Mytilus edulis: one gene and its partner. The protein of the gene in region 1 interacts with the protein of each later gene in a pairwise test. Links are inferred from orthologs where the notes say so. Each region holds a gene or a part of one and is shown on either strand. Other genes may lie near its edges.

Region 1 (7,598 bases):
AACGTTCTCTCTATATATGTTACAGTGAATTTGTATAATCAGGGATTATGTAGAATCCCTGATTTTTCAGGGATTATATAGAATCACTAAAAACATTAGTGATTATATAGATTCCCTGAAAATGACCAGTGATTTTAGATAATCACTGATAATTTTAATTAGTATTCTACAAATTCCCTAATATGATTTCAGGGATTCTCAATAATCAAAAGCTTCAAAGATGATATCTCAAACCAATTACACTAGTGGTTCCAGCAAGGATTTATATAGTCTTACTATACAAATCCTTGGTTCCAGGAAAGGGAGATCCCAAAAAACTAATGGTCAATATTCACGAAAAGGCTGAAGAAGGATATCGCCTTGCTATATAGCATGGAATCCTGCTCGGATCCTTAATACAAGAAATCAGTTTGAGGTTGCTGATTACCCTTCATTGGTACAATATGTACCTTCAGATGTTTGTGCTGAAAACACTTTTTCTCTGAGAAGTGCCGTAAAATATCATTTGATTTGGGGGACAAGGTTTTTTTTTAATGTTGATATCGTAGTAAAAACAGATGTGAATTTGATAGATATGCCTGAAGAGAATCAGGGCAAATGTGTAATAGTCGATGCCATTCAAATTTAGTTTGTAAATAAAATGTTTAATATTAAAATATTATACATAACATTAACATTTATTAAAACAACTGTACGCATAAAAATAGTTTTAATGACAGTTTCATTTTAAATTATTTCATATTCTCAACCTAAAAACAATTGCTAAAACAATACGATAAAAAGAATAATCATTATGCAATTTAATATTTTCATACTGACTTCATCAACCTGCCCGTGTGGGCTCGCTTGATATTATTATTACTAATAAAGTCGTCAATTATTCCATATATATTTTGCTCATCATTCAATTATATATATATATATTGTGCTTATCATTTGATTATTTTGTGTATAACATTTCAATATTTTTGTGTCTTTCATATTAATAAATTATGCCTAACGTTTAACAATAGTAAGGTTATTATTATGATATATTAAGGTAAACTTTTAAGATATTTCAATATGTTATATATTTTAGTATCATTGTAATGCAGGAAAAGTGGGAAGAATCGCTGTTCTGTCAGGTTGTCTCCCCTTTCCCTCCACAACGTTAAGTATATTAAAATCGAGGGACTGCCATCTTTCACTTGGGGACTATCCTCGCTCGCTTATACGGGTATTCTAACTTCTTTCGGAGAATCTGGGGAATACTAGCTCGCTCATATTCAGGTCTATGTTATGCCTTCTTCTGGCGTGTCCCTCATCTCGGACACTTGTACTTTCGAGGCCTGGCGCTGGTGAATAAAATACAATGATGTTTCAGCAATTATTTATTCCAAACAGTTATCTACATTTAAGTGTGATATTGTGATCTGTGATTTAAATAGTAAACTTAGTTTTAACTTATATATATTAATGAAAATCTTTTATAAATTTAAGTTAAGTTTTAAATATCAAAGTTATTAAATCAGAAGATAAATTCTTACTTTAAAATTCATTTGAAAATGGTTTATACTTTAACAATTTACATACCTGGTGAATAAAATACAATGATGTTTCAATTATTTATTCCAAACAGTTATCTACATTTAAGTGTGATATTGTGATGTTGGGAGGTTGCGGTCTTCCCTTTTTAACCCCAACATCACGTGCTGATTGGAATTATACTGACCGACTTTAGAAACGCAACACTAGATTAATTTTGTGTTATTTTTTAATGAATGTGTCACCGTCAAAAGCGATGACTGCCTGTTACAAACGCCAAAATGATTGTCAGAAAGGTCAACAAATTCTGTCTGACATGTTTTGGGTACTGATTTACACCTTCTGATTTTGCATTTGTTCAACCCATTTATTGGTTTTGGCTGTTATGCGGTTGGAACTTGATGGCTTTAAAGGTTTTCTTCAGTCGATTCTTTGGCAATTCAGTTGATGGGAAACATTTATGGCATGAATCTGTACTCAATGTCACTCGGCAATTTGAATAGCATTTGACGTTGCGGCCGTAAACATGTCTGGCAAATGACGTTGCGAAATCAACTTCGGTTGATGTTTCATTGTCACTACTCGTTGGTCTGTTCATTGATGGCCAGCAACAAATCTTGTCTACTTGTATCGTTGTCGGAAGGACAGTAAGAGGAGTTTCTGAAGTCATACAGAATGGTTGCAGCACGTTTATGTTTTCATGTTTGCAGTTCAAGAACCACAGTTAAGTCAGATTTTCATTTTTTGTAATGAGAAAGAAGTATGATAAGCACGAAAAGAAGTAATAAGAGAATCAAACAAGATTTGGTAAAAAAATCAACAAAATGAGTGTTGCGTTTCTAAAGTCGTTCAGTATATTTTATTCACCTATGAAATTTTAGCGTCAATTTTGAATTTTCTAAAGGTACGTTTTATTGGTCAACTGTTCTCTTTTTATGTTATAGATTTATATGATTGACATATGTTGTATTTAGTTACGTAAAAGCAATTAAAGGATTATCAAAATTATCAAAATCTTTGCTTACTTTACAGAATTATTAATTGGACAATAGAAACACTTTAGGTTTATTTTCCTACGGCAAATTACAAACATTTTTATTCTTTTAAAAGATGACAGTTTATTTAACTTATTTCTCAACGTCAGATTAATAGCTATGATCAAAAGAACTCTAGAAATGAGATTAACTATATTATTTACAAAAAGACGAAACTATTTATAACTTAACCTTACGTCACCTACTTTGTCTTAGAGCTTAAGCAATGCAATAAAATTCCATTTTATTTATTTATTAGTTTATTTCTCTAAGTTTACTTTATTTTATTTTCCTTTTCCAACATACAATTTTCCATCATTATATCATTTCAGTTATTCTGTATAATCCCTGACGTTTTTTCTAGTGATTATACATAATCCCTGAAAGTTTTAGTGATTATATATAATCCCTAAACTAACCAGTGATTATTCATAATCCCTGAAAATTTTAAGGATTCTACATAACCCCTGATTATACAAATTCACTGTAACATATATACACAATTAAAATTATGTACAGGATATTACTGTGTTATTTAAGCAGAGCATGCCTTTAGGGCAGCTCTGATTCCTTCAACTGTGTCATCTGATGTCGCTGATGTTGGCAGTTGGTTCAAGTGTCTCTGATGGTCCTAGGCCTGAGAAAGGATTGGTCCAAGGAGTATGTTGTAGCCCTTTCTTGAAAGAAGCGGTTTTTACCTCTGGTCCGGCTATCGTTTGGCGTCAGATATTGGTGCCGATCTATGTCTATTAGATCATGTGGAATTTTAAACAGCATACATATTCTATTTTGTTTCCTGCGGTCTTCAAAGCTTAATTTTCCATTTTAAAGATGTTACCGTTTTTGTTACACAGCCAGGTGTGCGGTCTGTGTAGTTGTTGTTTACGAATCTGGCTGCTCTTTCTGTACTTGTTCGATTGTTTTTACTTTAGCCTGTTTTGTAGGGTCTCATACCGTGCAAGCATATTCAACTGAAGGTCTTACTATTGTTGAATATGTTACTGCTTTAATCGGTTTAGTGCAATCTTTTATGTTACGTCGTACCTAACCCATACCTAAAACTAATACACATCTAACTCTAAAATCTAACACTAACCTAGAACAAGGAATTGTATATTTACACAATTCCTTGCCAGAACCACAGGAAATTTGTTTTCCCTATATACCTCTATATAACAAGGTATATAGGCTACTCACAGAGTTACTTTCAAGAGGTGTGCCTGACACAAAGGTTTTATATATATACTAATATGCGAAAACTGTTGTTTCTTATTTGTGTTTGTAACTATGTGTTGTTTATTATATTTGTAAAAGAATATTATATTACAATGATATTATATTATGCTCCTTGTGAGCCCATTTTATTGAAATAAAGCATCTTCTTCTTTTTCTTCTATAGGGAAAACAATTTCTGAGACAAGTGCCTGTGCCTAGAACATTCCCTAACCAGCTATCCTAACCATAACCAAGATTGAAGAATGAACCCTAACTCTTAATTATAGGGACTCTTAAAGTAAAATAAATTAATTTGAACGTATTTGTCTGAATCGAAAAAAAAATTGGCATAATATATATATATTTTCTGGTATTTAGATCGTTTTATTTTCCGGATTTGTTTCACTTCATATCCGTCATTGACTTATTTTTACATTTCACAGTCCCAAAATTATCATCTCAACCACCCGTTTCAACCCATGGGGGAATGGCAGCACCTCCTAAACCCTGGGAAATTGCAGGTGTAAATCAACAAAATGCTGGAAGTATTCCTTTAAATAATATGTCAGGGTAAGTCCATGTCTAACTGTTATTTCAAACATTTGTTGTACAATCTTGCATCCTACATTTTGACCGAAAAACAACTCTTATCTATCAATCGAGTCACAAACATTTTCGTATATCATCTTCTTCTTCTATACATTTAACATGTTAAATATTCTGACATTGTGATGTTTATGATCCCATTATTGTTTTTCCTTTAAAACTTAAAAATTACAATTTAGAATTACTCAGCCTCCGCCCTTCTGTTGAGTGTTGTGCAAGACCAAGGATTTGTTTAGGCCAGAAATTAGGGTTGTAATGTAGATACCTTCATAATGAATAATGGTAAAAATTCTTGCCAAATGAAGTTAACGGTAATTTTTGGTTCATGATGATAAAATGTACACTTTCTTTTAGACGATAAAAAAATCTACTGATTTTAACGCATCACGTTTCCAAAAATGCTGGTAAAATAAACCTCTGACGAATCAGGTTAATATTTTAATCAATTCAACCCCTGACGGTAAAGGGAATAACTACCCTCTTGTATAGACTATATACAATCTGTGGGTTGTGGAAGATTCCATTCTCATTAATTTGTTACTTTGATGATATATTCCTAGGCCTTCAGCAACAAGGTAGGAACTTCAAGTTTATCTTGTGAATCCCCTGGTTCATTTGATAATTCACACACAGGGATAAACCTATTTGAGATAGTTGTACCTTTTAGGGGTTTGTAAACAACCAATTGTGCAATAAACTGAATAATTATTAAAAAAAAAAGGAACTTCAATTTTGTTCTTGGACATGAACATGTAGGTTAACCTATGTAGGCACAGCGACAGAAGAGGCAGGAATAATTAACGAGTTCTGGGTTTAATCTAGTCCAAATATATTTATGATGTCTTAATTTAGAGCCTAACAGCTTTAAGTCAAATATAATAGCCTTTCTAGACATTTATTGGTATTATACCTCAAAACATATAAAATGTAACCTGCCTTATCCAACACCTGAGTATTCCAACATCCTGCTTTAATCGACACATTTTCATGGTCCCATAATATGCCTATCATTGTAGAAAAAACCTGAGTATTCCGACACCCTGCTTAATCAGACATTATTTTCTGGTCCCTCAGTGTGTCGGATAACACAGGTTGTACTGTACATTATATCCCAATTTTAATGATGGAATTTATAAGAATGTTTGCACCATGATCATCATTATGATAAAATATTAAAAAAAAAATTTTTTATCACTGCATAAAGATCGATACCTGATTTTGGATATAATAACCATAACTAGTAATAGTGCCCATTTATGAGGACCATCCCCAACCTGTGAAACTTTTTAGTTTTGGCCTAACGATTGTCCTGTCAAATATGAAAAATGCTAAAATGTCTCCATTTTTGGAAGGGTTACTGCAGATTTGGTACCAAGGGTTATAATAACATTTTATTTATAATGAATACATGTATAAGAAAAGAAAATTAAACTAAATAAATGATTTTAAGAGTAAGTAAACTTGACCAGACTGACATTGAATTTACCCTTACTATTGTTTTGACCAACATGAAATTACAATCAACTTTTTTATACGACCGAAAATTTTTGCAGACGTATATTGGTATCACGTCATAGTCGTCAGCGTCGTTCGAAAACGAATGGTTTCCGGTTAATAACTAGTATACGCTAATAGAAATCAGTAAAATTTTAACACAATGTTTATAACCACAAAAGGTAGCTTGGGATTGATTTTGGGGGTTATGGTCCCTAAGGTTAAGGAATTAGGGACCCAAAGGGGCCTAAAACAAGCATTTATCTATTGTCAGTACAAACAGTTGTGTATAAGTATTTCAATTGTTCTGAAATTGTACCACAATGTGAAATTGTACCACAATGTTTAATACCATACATAGAAGGTTGGGATATATTTTGTGGGTTATGGGGAAAACAGTCGTAAGAAAAAACAAGCATTTTTTTAGTTTCAAGACTATAAATTGGAGTTGTCTTTCTTTGTCCAGAATGGTTGTTGAATCACCTAAAACTAAAATGTAATGCTTTATGAAATCTTCTTTGAAAATTGGAGTTATCTTTCTTTGTTCAGAATAGTAGTTGCTATATACAATATACAATGCATTATTCACTTTACTACCAACTGATAAATTAAAGCAGTGATTACAAGCACTTTGATTACCATTCTAGGGTTATGCCCCTTTACAAATGGAAAAATTGAAGAATTATTTAGTTTCTGTTCTCTTAACTTAAGTTTGTCTCAACTAAATTTAATAAAATGGGTATCTAATGCTTATTACCTCTAAACTCAGTTTAAGTTCAATTTTTGGCAGTTTCACTTTTACAGTTCTTGAGTTATTTCCCTTTATAACATTACAAACATGTATATGCTAGCAGGGGCATCATCTGTGTCCATTTGGACACATTCCCCATTTATTTTTTTAAGAAGTTACTATTGATTAATATTAAAGTCATATGAAACCTCAAATTAAAAAAAAATATGCATATGTTTTTTAAAACTAAATGGATAGTTTTCATTATACAACTTATGTACATATACTTTTTTCTGAGGAAAATTCTTTAATTTGTCCACATTTAGAAGAAGTTTACATATTTGTAATTGCTTGCTGCCAGGGCAGGAAGCAATTCGCCGACATATTTTCCGTATGCATAGTGACCTAAGCTTGACCCTCCTCGTAAAAATCCGGTGATAGCAATACGCATGAATCCGTCATTAAAATTAACAATTACCTGATTGTATATGTTAAACACGTGCTAAATACCCATGCTTTTTGTTGATTATTTACTATAAGGTGACAATCGGTAAACTTCGGCTTCAAAACACGGCATTTAATGAGTAGCCATATTTGTTAAATCATAACAGACAGATTATACGATATATTTGCGTAAAAAATGATAAATTCGTGCACAGAGAACTAAGTTTATGATTTATACATGCATTGGTTCAAGAATTGGATGAACATTATTTTTCACCAGTCACTCGTTTCTTATGACTTTAATTTTAACCATGACTGAATGACATTTTATATTTTGATATTTTATGATGTATTTAAATGAGTAGTTATTGTTGTTGCAAACTCCATTAGAAATTTGAATGGAAAGGGGGAGGTGACAAAAAATTTGGGGGGGGGGGGGTCAATTTGTCTCAGTTCAGATTTCAGAAATTAAAAAGAAAATTTCTTCAAATTTTTTGTTGTTGAGAGGATTAATATTCAACAGCATAGTGAATTGCTCAAAAGCACCAAAA
Region 2 (8,652 bases), on another chromosome or scaffold:
GAACAGAGCATGCTACGTCACTTAAACAGGAAATAATATCTATAATCTCAGGAATTCCTGGAATGAACAGATAATGCTACTTCACATAAACATAAATGGTATGCTGGCAACCATACGGCCTTCAACAATGAGGAAAAAACATACCGTTTAACAAGCTATAAAAAGCCTCGACATGAAAAATATGAAACAAGACAATTGAGACAACCATTGTTCCGGGGTACCTTCGATCACTTTCATATTTTCGGGCGTTCGTATTGCTCTGTTTTTATGGTTACAATGTTGGGTTTGTGTACTACTGTTTGTCTGTCTTTTTCCTTTTCTACCCATGTGGTTGTCAGTTTATTTTCAACTTATAATATAGGAAGATAGTTTGAATGTCCCTATCTTTCGCCTTTCTTTTATATCTTATAAACAAGTGGCGGATAGAGAATGTGCCCTTAATGATTGAATGCTAAATAGTTATTAGAGTAAATTAGTTTTCTAAGAATATAAAAACTATTTACATGCACGAAAAATACTATTTTACATACGTGATTCTCTCAGCCGTTTCTTCATACCAGACATATCTTTCAACACAAACAATGACAAGGGAAGACCACGAAGATGACGAGGTTGTGTTACATGTTCTAATAGAAGTCGAGTATACCATTCTATTATATCAATGCTGAAATAATGTGAGTGATAATTTATGTATTTAGTCAAATGTTTGTACGAAAAACGACTCCGTGTACTTCAGAATGTATACGAACTTTGAGGTGACTTTTGTTTCTTTTTTTCATTGGGTTTCTATCTCATTGGCCTCAGATCTTTCATTAGTTATACCCAATATATATAGCTGCATATAAGTTAGTCATTTATACAAACTCGGGAATTTCGCCAATAGTTGTCATTTCTCTGATCTTCATCGTTTTTTTTCTACATATATTGAATGTACATCTTTTTTGGTTTATTGGCCTTCTTGGCAATGTCTTGTCTCGTAAAAAGCAGACATCACATTATTTTCATTGAGTGATTTTCATTTTCTTGTTTTTAAGTGATAAAGCCTCTTAAAAGCAGACTAATTACTTTTACCATAAATCATATGTATACCTGTTCCATGGTCCTTCTTTTTTTAAATAAAAAAGAAAAAAATGTAGAGACTTAGAATTCGATTATCTTATAAATGATCCAATCCTGTATGCATGTTTGTATAAATGGCCCTGATATGGACAGTCTAAAAAAATCCAATAGGAACTAAAAACAGGAGGAAACTTGCAGTTAAACAAAATTGTAGAATAATAAACCAACAAAATCCTATTCCAAATATAACTGAAGTACAAGACATGTCAGTACAGACAGAGCCTGTTGCTCTTTCAAGTTTAAGTGACATAGAGGAGGTAAGGCTTGTAGTGCAGGCTGCAATAAAAAAAATGTATCTTGACTTTGACATTGATGGTGGAGATGAGGATGATGATGAACAAAATGAAAATGATATATAACAACATGTTTTAATTGAATCAAATAAATCAGATTGATATAATTATATTTGTATTTAATTACTCAATACAGGGACAATGAGAAAAATTACTAAGTAACTTAAACTACAAAGAACTTTACTTATTGAAAATACCAAAGTGTTAAGCATGATACATGTAACTTTTATCCCTCAAAATACAAGAGTAGATTTTTTTATTGTCAGTGGAGATAAGCCATGTATTTCTCATTGATTCTCATAAAAATATTAATTAGAATGTAAATTTTTATACTGTTACACATAAAAAACATCTTAGTCAAAATGCAAATATGGTATGATGTATGGGTGCAGCCTATGATAAATTATAATACTTATTCATGAAATATAATAATATTTTTTCTTGTGACAGACACAGTCAGTGTCTTGCAGGAAAAGACACTGAACCAAGAGGATTGAAATTTATGATTTAGTCCTTGTACTACACATTTTCGAAACTTTTTTATGCTTTCTTATAACTCACCAAAGCTACACCATTGAAAAAAATGCCAACATTACAAGTTATTTTGGATTAATTTGATCTATCACCTATTCCTTAAAACCCATGAGCTTCCGGGGGACGTTGCCCCCCTGAAACCTCCACGTGGCTTCGCCTTCGACCTGGCCGGGGGCCTGAGCGGCACCCGGACCCCGCGCTTGCTCTGCTACATATCAACTTCAATCAGTTATTTCAAAACTTATTGAAAACCCTGAGTACTAAACAGGAGTAAAAATCTTTTTACGGTTATCCTTTTATATAAGATATGTCCTCATGTACTGACATGATTGATAACAAACCTTTCTAAAATTGTCCGTTTATATTTTTTTCACATTATAAAGAAACTAATTTTTCCAAAATTCAAAGCTTACATTATTACATTATTAGGCTAATAGAAGCATACAAAACATTGTGTAAGTTTTATAGAAAGGTTACACATGGCAATTACACTCTATTTATTTTGTATGACCGAAAGTCTTTTCTGGATCTACTTTTATCACAGTACATGTATAAACAACTAATCGGGTCATAAAAGCTAACAATGATGTAATACAATGTACTTACAGATCAAATTCCTTTTTAATTTGATAGAGATCAGGAATAAGAACATTGTCCAGAGTACAGAACATTGTGTTTGTGTCTTGTCTGTCGCTCTACACAGTATAGAACATTGTGTTTGTGTCTTGTCTCTCGCTCTACACCTACATTACATGGCTGCTTTCTCTGTCCTGTTGTGTTGTCTGTTTCTAACGTTGTTGGCACGGGACACAGTCAAACGTAGTAAACGAGTTCACTGTGACGTTGTGTTTTTTATAAAGCAAAGAGTAAATTGAAGAAGAAATCAGGGGTAGCCAAACTATCTAGAAAAGTTGTCGTGTTGTTTCTTCGTTTACATGGTTTAGATTTGAACAATTAATACCAATTGAAGTTTTACTTCTAGTGCATAACAACACTGCGGTGCAGCCTTCGTTTCCTAAAAAAATCTAAATTAACGTCAGCTTATTCTTTTTATTGCTACTTCTTAGTTGAGTGGTATTTTTTATTGTTTAAAATTTTGTGTATTTATGTTAAATTCTTTACATCGATTTTATTTTAGGGCTGCTATATGAAAGCAATTTACAATTTTTTTCTTCGTCATTTTTTTCTTCTTCAAACTTAGTTAAGTTTAATCTTTTATAATAAAACTTGTGTGGATGACTATATTTGCTAGCCTAAGATACAACATTTGCAAGCTTTCTTAGTGTTTAAATAAATATATGAAGATGTGGTATGACTGAGTGGTAATGAGACATCTCTCCAACCAAGTCCCAACTTGTAATAGAAAAAAAACACATATAGGTCAAAGTATGGTCTCCAACAAGGAGCCTAGGATCACACCGAACAACAAGCTATAAAGGGCATAGAAATGACAAGTTTAAAACTATACAGACGGGAAAACCAACAGTTTAATCTATTAAAAAAACGGGAAACACTTATGAACCCCATCAACAAACGACAACTACTGAATATCAGGTTCCTGACTTAGGACATGAAAATTGAGAATGGAAATGGGGAATGTGTCAAAGACACAACAACCCGACCATAAAACAGACAACAGCAGGAGGTCACCAACAGGTCTTCAATGCAGCGAGAAATTCCCGCACCCGGAGGCGACCTTCGGCTGGCCTCTAAACAAATATATATACTAGTTCAGTAATAGTGATTATCTATCTGATAAATTTACTGCTTATAGGTTGCATTTCTGTAAATATTAACTATGTAATTTCCCTTAGGAACTCCGTTTACGGCTAAGACTGTTCCACTTTTACTATGTAATTTCCCTTAGGAACTCCGTTTACGGCTAAGACTGTTCCACTTTTACTATGTAATTTCCCTTAGGAACTCCGTTTACGGCTAAGACTGTTCCACTTTAACTATGAATTTTTGATAAAAATAATATCATAGGATAAAGGTTTATATGCACTACTATTTTTTCAAAGGTCAAACTATAGGGCTGTGCGGCATATTTTCAACGTGTATATATGCCCTGAACTTCTAAGAGTTTAACTTTACACTAAAAGTTTGTGCTACTCCTATACTTGACTTCCGGTGGACCACAGATTTCAATTTGACGGTTATGCATTTGTGTATCTACTGGTAACATTCCCAAGTTATTTTTCTACAAGATGAAACATATAGACATCATATCTGGGAACCAGTACGTGAAAAAAAACTATGAATGTTTATATATTCCCAAAAGAGGAGTGATTTGAGAAACAGCTGTATTTATAAAGTGCAACATATATATACTGATCTTTATAATCAGTATTCGCTCAAGTAGCATAGGGAGGCTGGTTAATAAAAGCTTTCTCCAAACTTCTTACTGAATCCTATATTTGAATTTTATGTAAGATTGCTATACTTTGCTGTTGTATTTTTCAGTATTAGATACTGTTTAAACTAATTAAGGCTTCTTCATCATGTTCGTGTATCAAGACCTAATTCGTTTTTTTTTTTTCTTAAACCGAGAACAATTAAATATGCTAGTCTGAGTACAAGGATTGAGAATAACTTTATAGATATAATTTAAGAAATAAATAATTTATATTCATTTAGGATTAAATGTTCAAACTTTTTTTTCAACTATACAGAATAAATAAACCAGCAACTCTCACAAATAATCTTACAATTAAAACCTTTTTTTTTAAGTTTGAGTTGCAAGCAAGTTATGCTATAATGAGTATGTATTTTTACTCTTAAGAATTTTTTTGTGAAAAGTGCATGCCGCTGAATCTGTTTTTTTTTTTCGTTTTTTTTTTAAATTATTGAAAGCATATGGGTTAATCGATATTTAAGCTGTTATATACATCTGTATATAGTTAAACGTACGGTATTACATGTATTTTATTTTGTTTGTATCTTTCTTTTTTTTCTATTTGTATTTATGATTTTCGAAGGCCTCAGAGAAGATCAACATGTCATTGTTAAATAAGTAACCTTCGTTAAATAATTAATTTCATTAGTCTTATAAGAACAGGATTAAAGATCTACACCTACATCGGGATCAAAATCAATGTATTAAATTTTCCCAAAATTAATACAGGGTTTTAGGTAGTTTATTACAGATCTGGTTCCTGGTTCAAAATATGTGACATTTTGTGTCTGTAGAATTTAAAAGATCCAGTTTAAATCATGACAGACGAAACAAATAGAAAGGTTACTATTTTTCTTTCCCACACTTATGTTTGACACAGTTATGTGTTGTCAGTTACATACGAAGACAAGATAAATTGTTTGAATAAATCTACGTTTTATTAATGTTTTAAAAGCCCTGAAAACCTCCCTCTTCGTTGACTCTTGTCGTTTTTTTAAAGTTCAAAGTCCAAGCATAGTTCTAGTTTTTTTTCTTTGACGCCTTAGGCATGTTAGGGACGACCTCAAAAGTTCAATGAAGGATAAAAAACTTAATTCACTTTTGATGTCGTCCCTTACTTCGACGTCGATTCAGAAATTTTGTCCGAGCCCAAAACATGTAGTTGATAAAATTTTTGAATTGTAGCTTCAATTTTTTTATTTTACCATTTTGTCCGATACAAAAATAAATTTTCTCTGAGTGATGACATTACATTGTATAAGTTACATGTTTGCTACTGACCATGCTGATAACTGCAGCCCATGCCCATGGATCCATAGAGTCTTAAGAGGGTAAGTAAACTCCATAGAAGTGGGGATTTTACCCACACTCTTTTGTCTGTAGAGGGTCAGTAGTGAACTTTATATAGAACTTATCAAACACTGTACTTTAAAATATATATGCTGTGTTTAAAAACAACAACAATGAAATACAATTAACATTAGATTACATGCCTTGAATCCCATATTAAATTTATTAATCCCATATTAAATTTATTAATCCCATACATCTTGTACATGTATATGGGGCAATATGCGCAATTGTTTCTCCACAGGCCGTAATGGTAACGTCTTCTTCTCTAGCTCAGCCAATATCGTAAACTTGTATATGATGGCTGAATCCATGACAAGTCGCCCCACTGGCAAGTCGCCCCACACCTAATCGCCCCACTTTTTCACCAACTCGCCCCACTTTAAAAAAAACGCCCCAACCTGGATTACCAAATCGCCCCACTTTTTAAAAAATCGCCCCACTTGTGAAATGTGTTAAATCCCGTTAATATTACTCCTGAAAACTCGCCCCACTGAATGGAAAACGATAAAATCTAGATTAACATATTATTAACCAGGATGAATTTAGTAAAGCCAACTCGCCTTACAGATGTTATCCCGTTGTATATAACTTAAATTCCGTGAATATTACTCCGGCCAACTCGCCCCACTTATGGAAACGGATGTTATCCCATTGAAAACCTTATAGAAACTTCTTATATTATTCCTTTTTTTTTTAATATAGCAGTAAGAAGTGAGTTAATATTTCGGTAACGTGAATGTCAACTAGCCCCACTTATGAATAGTACATGTATGAATAGAGTTAAAGGCTACCAACTAGCCCCGCTTACGAATAAAATAATTAAACTGAAATGTGTGTTGGCTTTTTTCGGTTTGTTTGTATTCTGTGTAGATTAGTTTTCATTTAAGTGGGGCGAGTTTTTATTTTTAATTTTATATTAATCTAAATATTACCGTTTTCCATTAAGTGGGGCGAGTTGGCAGGAGTAATATTAAACATGATTTAACCAATTTCACATGTGGGGCGATTTTTTTAAAAGTGGGGCGAGTTGGTGATCCAGGTTGGGGCGGTTTTTTTCAAAGTGGGGCGAGTTGGTGAAAAAGTGGGGCGATTAGGTGTGGGGCGACTTGCCAGTGGGGCGACTTGTCCTGCTTCCATGATGGCTTGTTTCGAAGCTGAGACATTTTCACATGTGTGGATAAATTTTTGGGGTATGAAGAGTGATTCATTTTTCGGTAAATTAGCATACCCTGACAATCCTTTCGTGAAGCGACTCTTCATAGTAAAAAGTCCCTTTTTTCACACAATGTCTGAACATGCTGAAAATTTAATACTTTGAATACATATATAATAATAACTCCATAGTTTTTACACATTTATTCTAAGGTCCTATACTTTACAGATCAACACAAATGGTCAAGCTCAGTCATTTGTTAAAAATTGAAACATGTCCAATATCACTACACAGAGATTTTTTGTAAATTTACAAACAACTTTTGTGTTCTTCAATCGGAGGCACATCAATTTAGTGATACATGTATTGTCCCATATGGATCCATAAGGGGTTACCATGTGATGGCCTTAAACCCTATGGATCCATAAGGGGTTACCATGTGATGGCCATAAGGGGTTACCATGTGATGGCCATAAGGGGTTACCATGCGATGGCCTTAAAACAATCACAATATCATAATTTACCTGTGGTGCAATAAAATATTTATTCCCAGTTCACTAACTTTAGTTCAGTGATATTGTTTGCCTCAAATTACAGCCGAAATTCGGCCTTTTCCCCATGAGAAAATTCCCAATTACAAAAAAAAAATGGCTTAAAATTCCTCATCAAAACTTTTACATTTTCTCCAAACAGTGATGGCATTGGTAGTAATGTTGGTAAATATCGTATTCATGTTATTATTTTGCTATTAGAAAGCACGTTTGAAATCCGGTTTTCTGATCAGAATCATCATGGTGTTTGTAACACATGTAGTTTTCAATGCATTAAGTACCATCATTGCTTCTGTTTCTTTCCCCTCTCCGAAAGTACCTTTCAGGTTGAAAATGTCTGACAGCCAAAATATACATGAAAAAACAGTGCCAAAAAGACAGCAAAGGTCAGCAAAAAATCGGAGATGTGTTGAGAATAAAATATACAAATTTCCCAATTTCAATAAAAAATATGCATTTTTCCCAGTAAAAAACGGTAGAGGTAGTTTTGAAAAAAGACAACAATATCACTGTAGTTTGCCTTGAATAAATATTTTACAAAATGCTTATTACCAAACATTGGATAAAGATTGAATTTGGGAGGTGTCTGACTTTTAACTTTCTGAGAAAAAAAAATTAAAAGAAGAAATGGCTCTAGGATTTCGAACAAACATCAGTCAGGGATATAACTCTATAGGGTTATTACAGGAAAATAACATACATTTTTTATTGTAGACTAAAAAATCAAAGAACTGTGATAACATATGTATGTTACATGTTTCAAAGGGACAATATACATCATTAGTTTCATTAAACTATGTAAAAGTTCTATTGATATTGCTTTTGTCTATATGTATACTTATATGTTATCACAGAAAAAAATATGCCTTTTAATAACTAAAGGGTGTTATCACAGCTTCTCTATATCACTTCAAAGGATTTGCTCAGACACAGATCATGCTTAATTACAATGTATTTTAATTTATTGTAAGAAATAATGACCAGAGCATGTAATGAGGTTCTGCGCAAGTTTCTCAGTAATTCCCAAGTGTCTTATATAATAAGTTACATTCCTTTAATAACTAATCCTTGTTATTACAGCTAAGTTTATCCCTTAATAGCCTCGTCTCATTGCTTTACCATGGTTAATCAAAAATGTATGAATTTAATTAAGAAATTTCTTATCAAGGCTATGCATTTAGTTTCTGCACAAAGTCTCAAGAGTTCCCCTAAGAGCCCACTATAAATGAAATAATTTTACAAATAACAAACATA

The links.
Region 2: the proteins of peroxisomal membrane protein PEX13-like (region 1) and peroxisomal membrane protein PEX14-like interact in a two-hybrid assay, tested with the Homo sapiens proteins (2 studies listed by BioGRID and IntAct, with this or other methods). The link is inferred for Mytilus edulis from reciprocal best matches to the Homo sapiens genes PEX13 and PEX14.

The regions. Positions count from the first base shown.
Region 1 is NC_092344.1:115,003,444-115,011,041, reverse strand, and holds the start of peroxisomal membrane protein PEX13-like, read left to right. Parts: upstream 1-4,188; 5' UTR 4,189-4,260; coding exon 4,261-4,343; intron 4,344-7,598. UniProt on the Homo sapiens protein: Component of the PEX13-PEX14 docking complex, a translocon channel that specifically mediates the import of peroxisomal cargo proteins bound to PEX5 receptor.
Region 2 is NC_092356.1:316,902-325,553, forward strand, and holds the start of peroxisomal membrane protein PEX14-like, read left to right. Parts: upstream 1-5,071; 5' UTR 5,072-5,159; coding exon 5,160-5,183; intron 5,184-7,527; exon of another isoform or gene 7,528-7,542; coding exon of another isoform or gene 7,543-7,563; intron 7,564-8,652. Other genes in the region: uncharacterized protein, read right to left, coding at 531-664, 2,553-2,617. UniProt on the Homo sapiens protein: Component of the PEX13-PEX14 docking complex, a translocon channel that specifically mediates the import of peroxisomal cargo proteins bound to PEX5 receptor.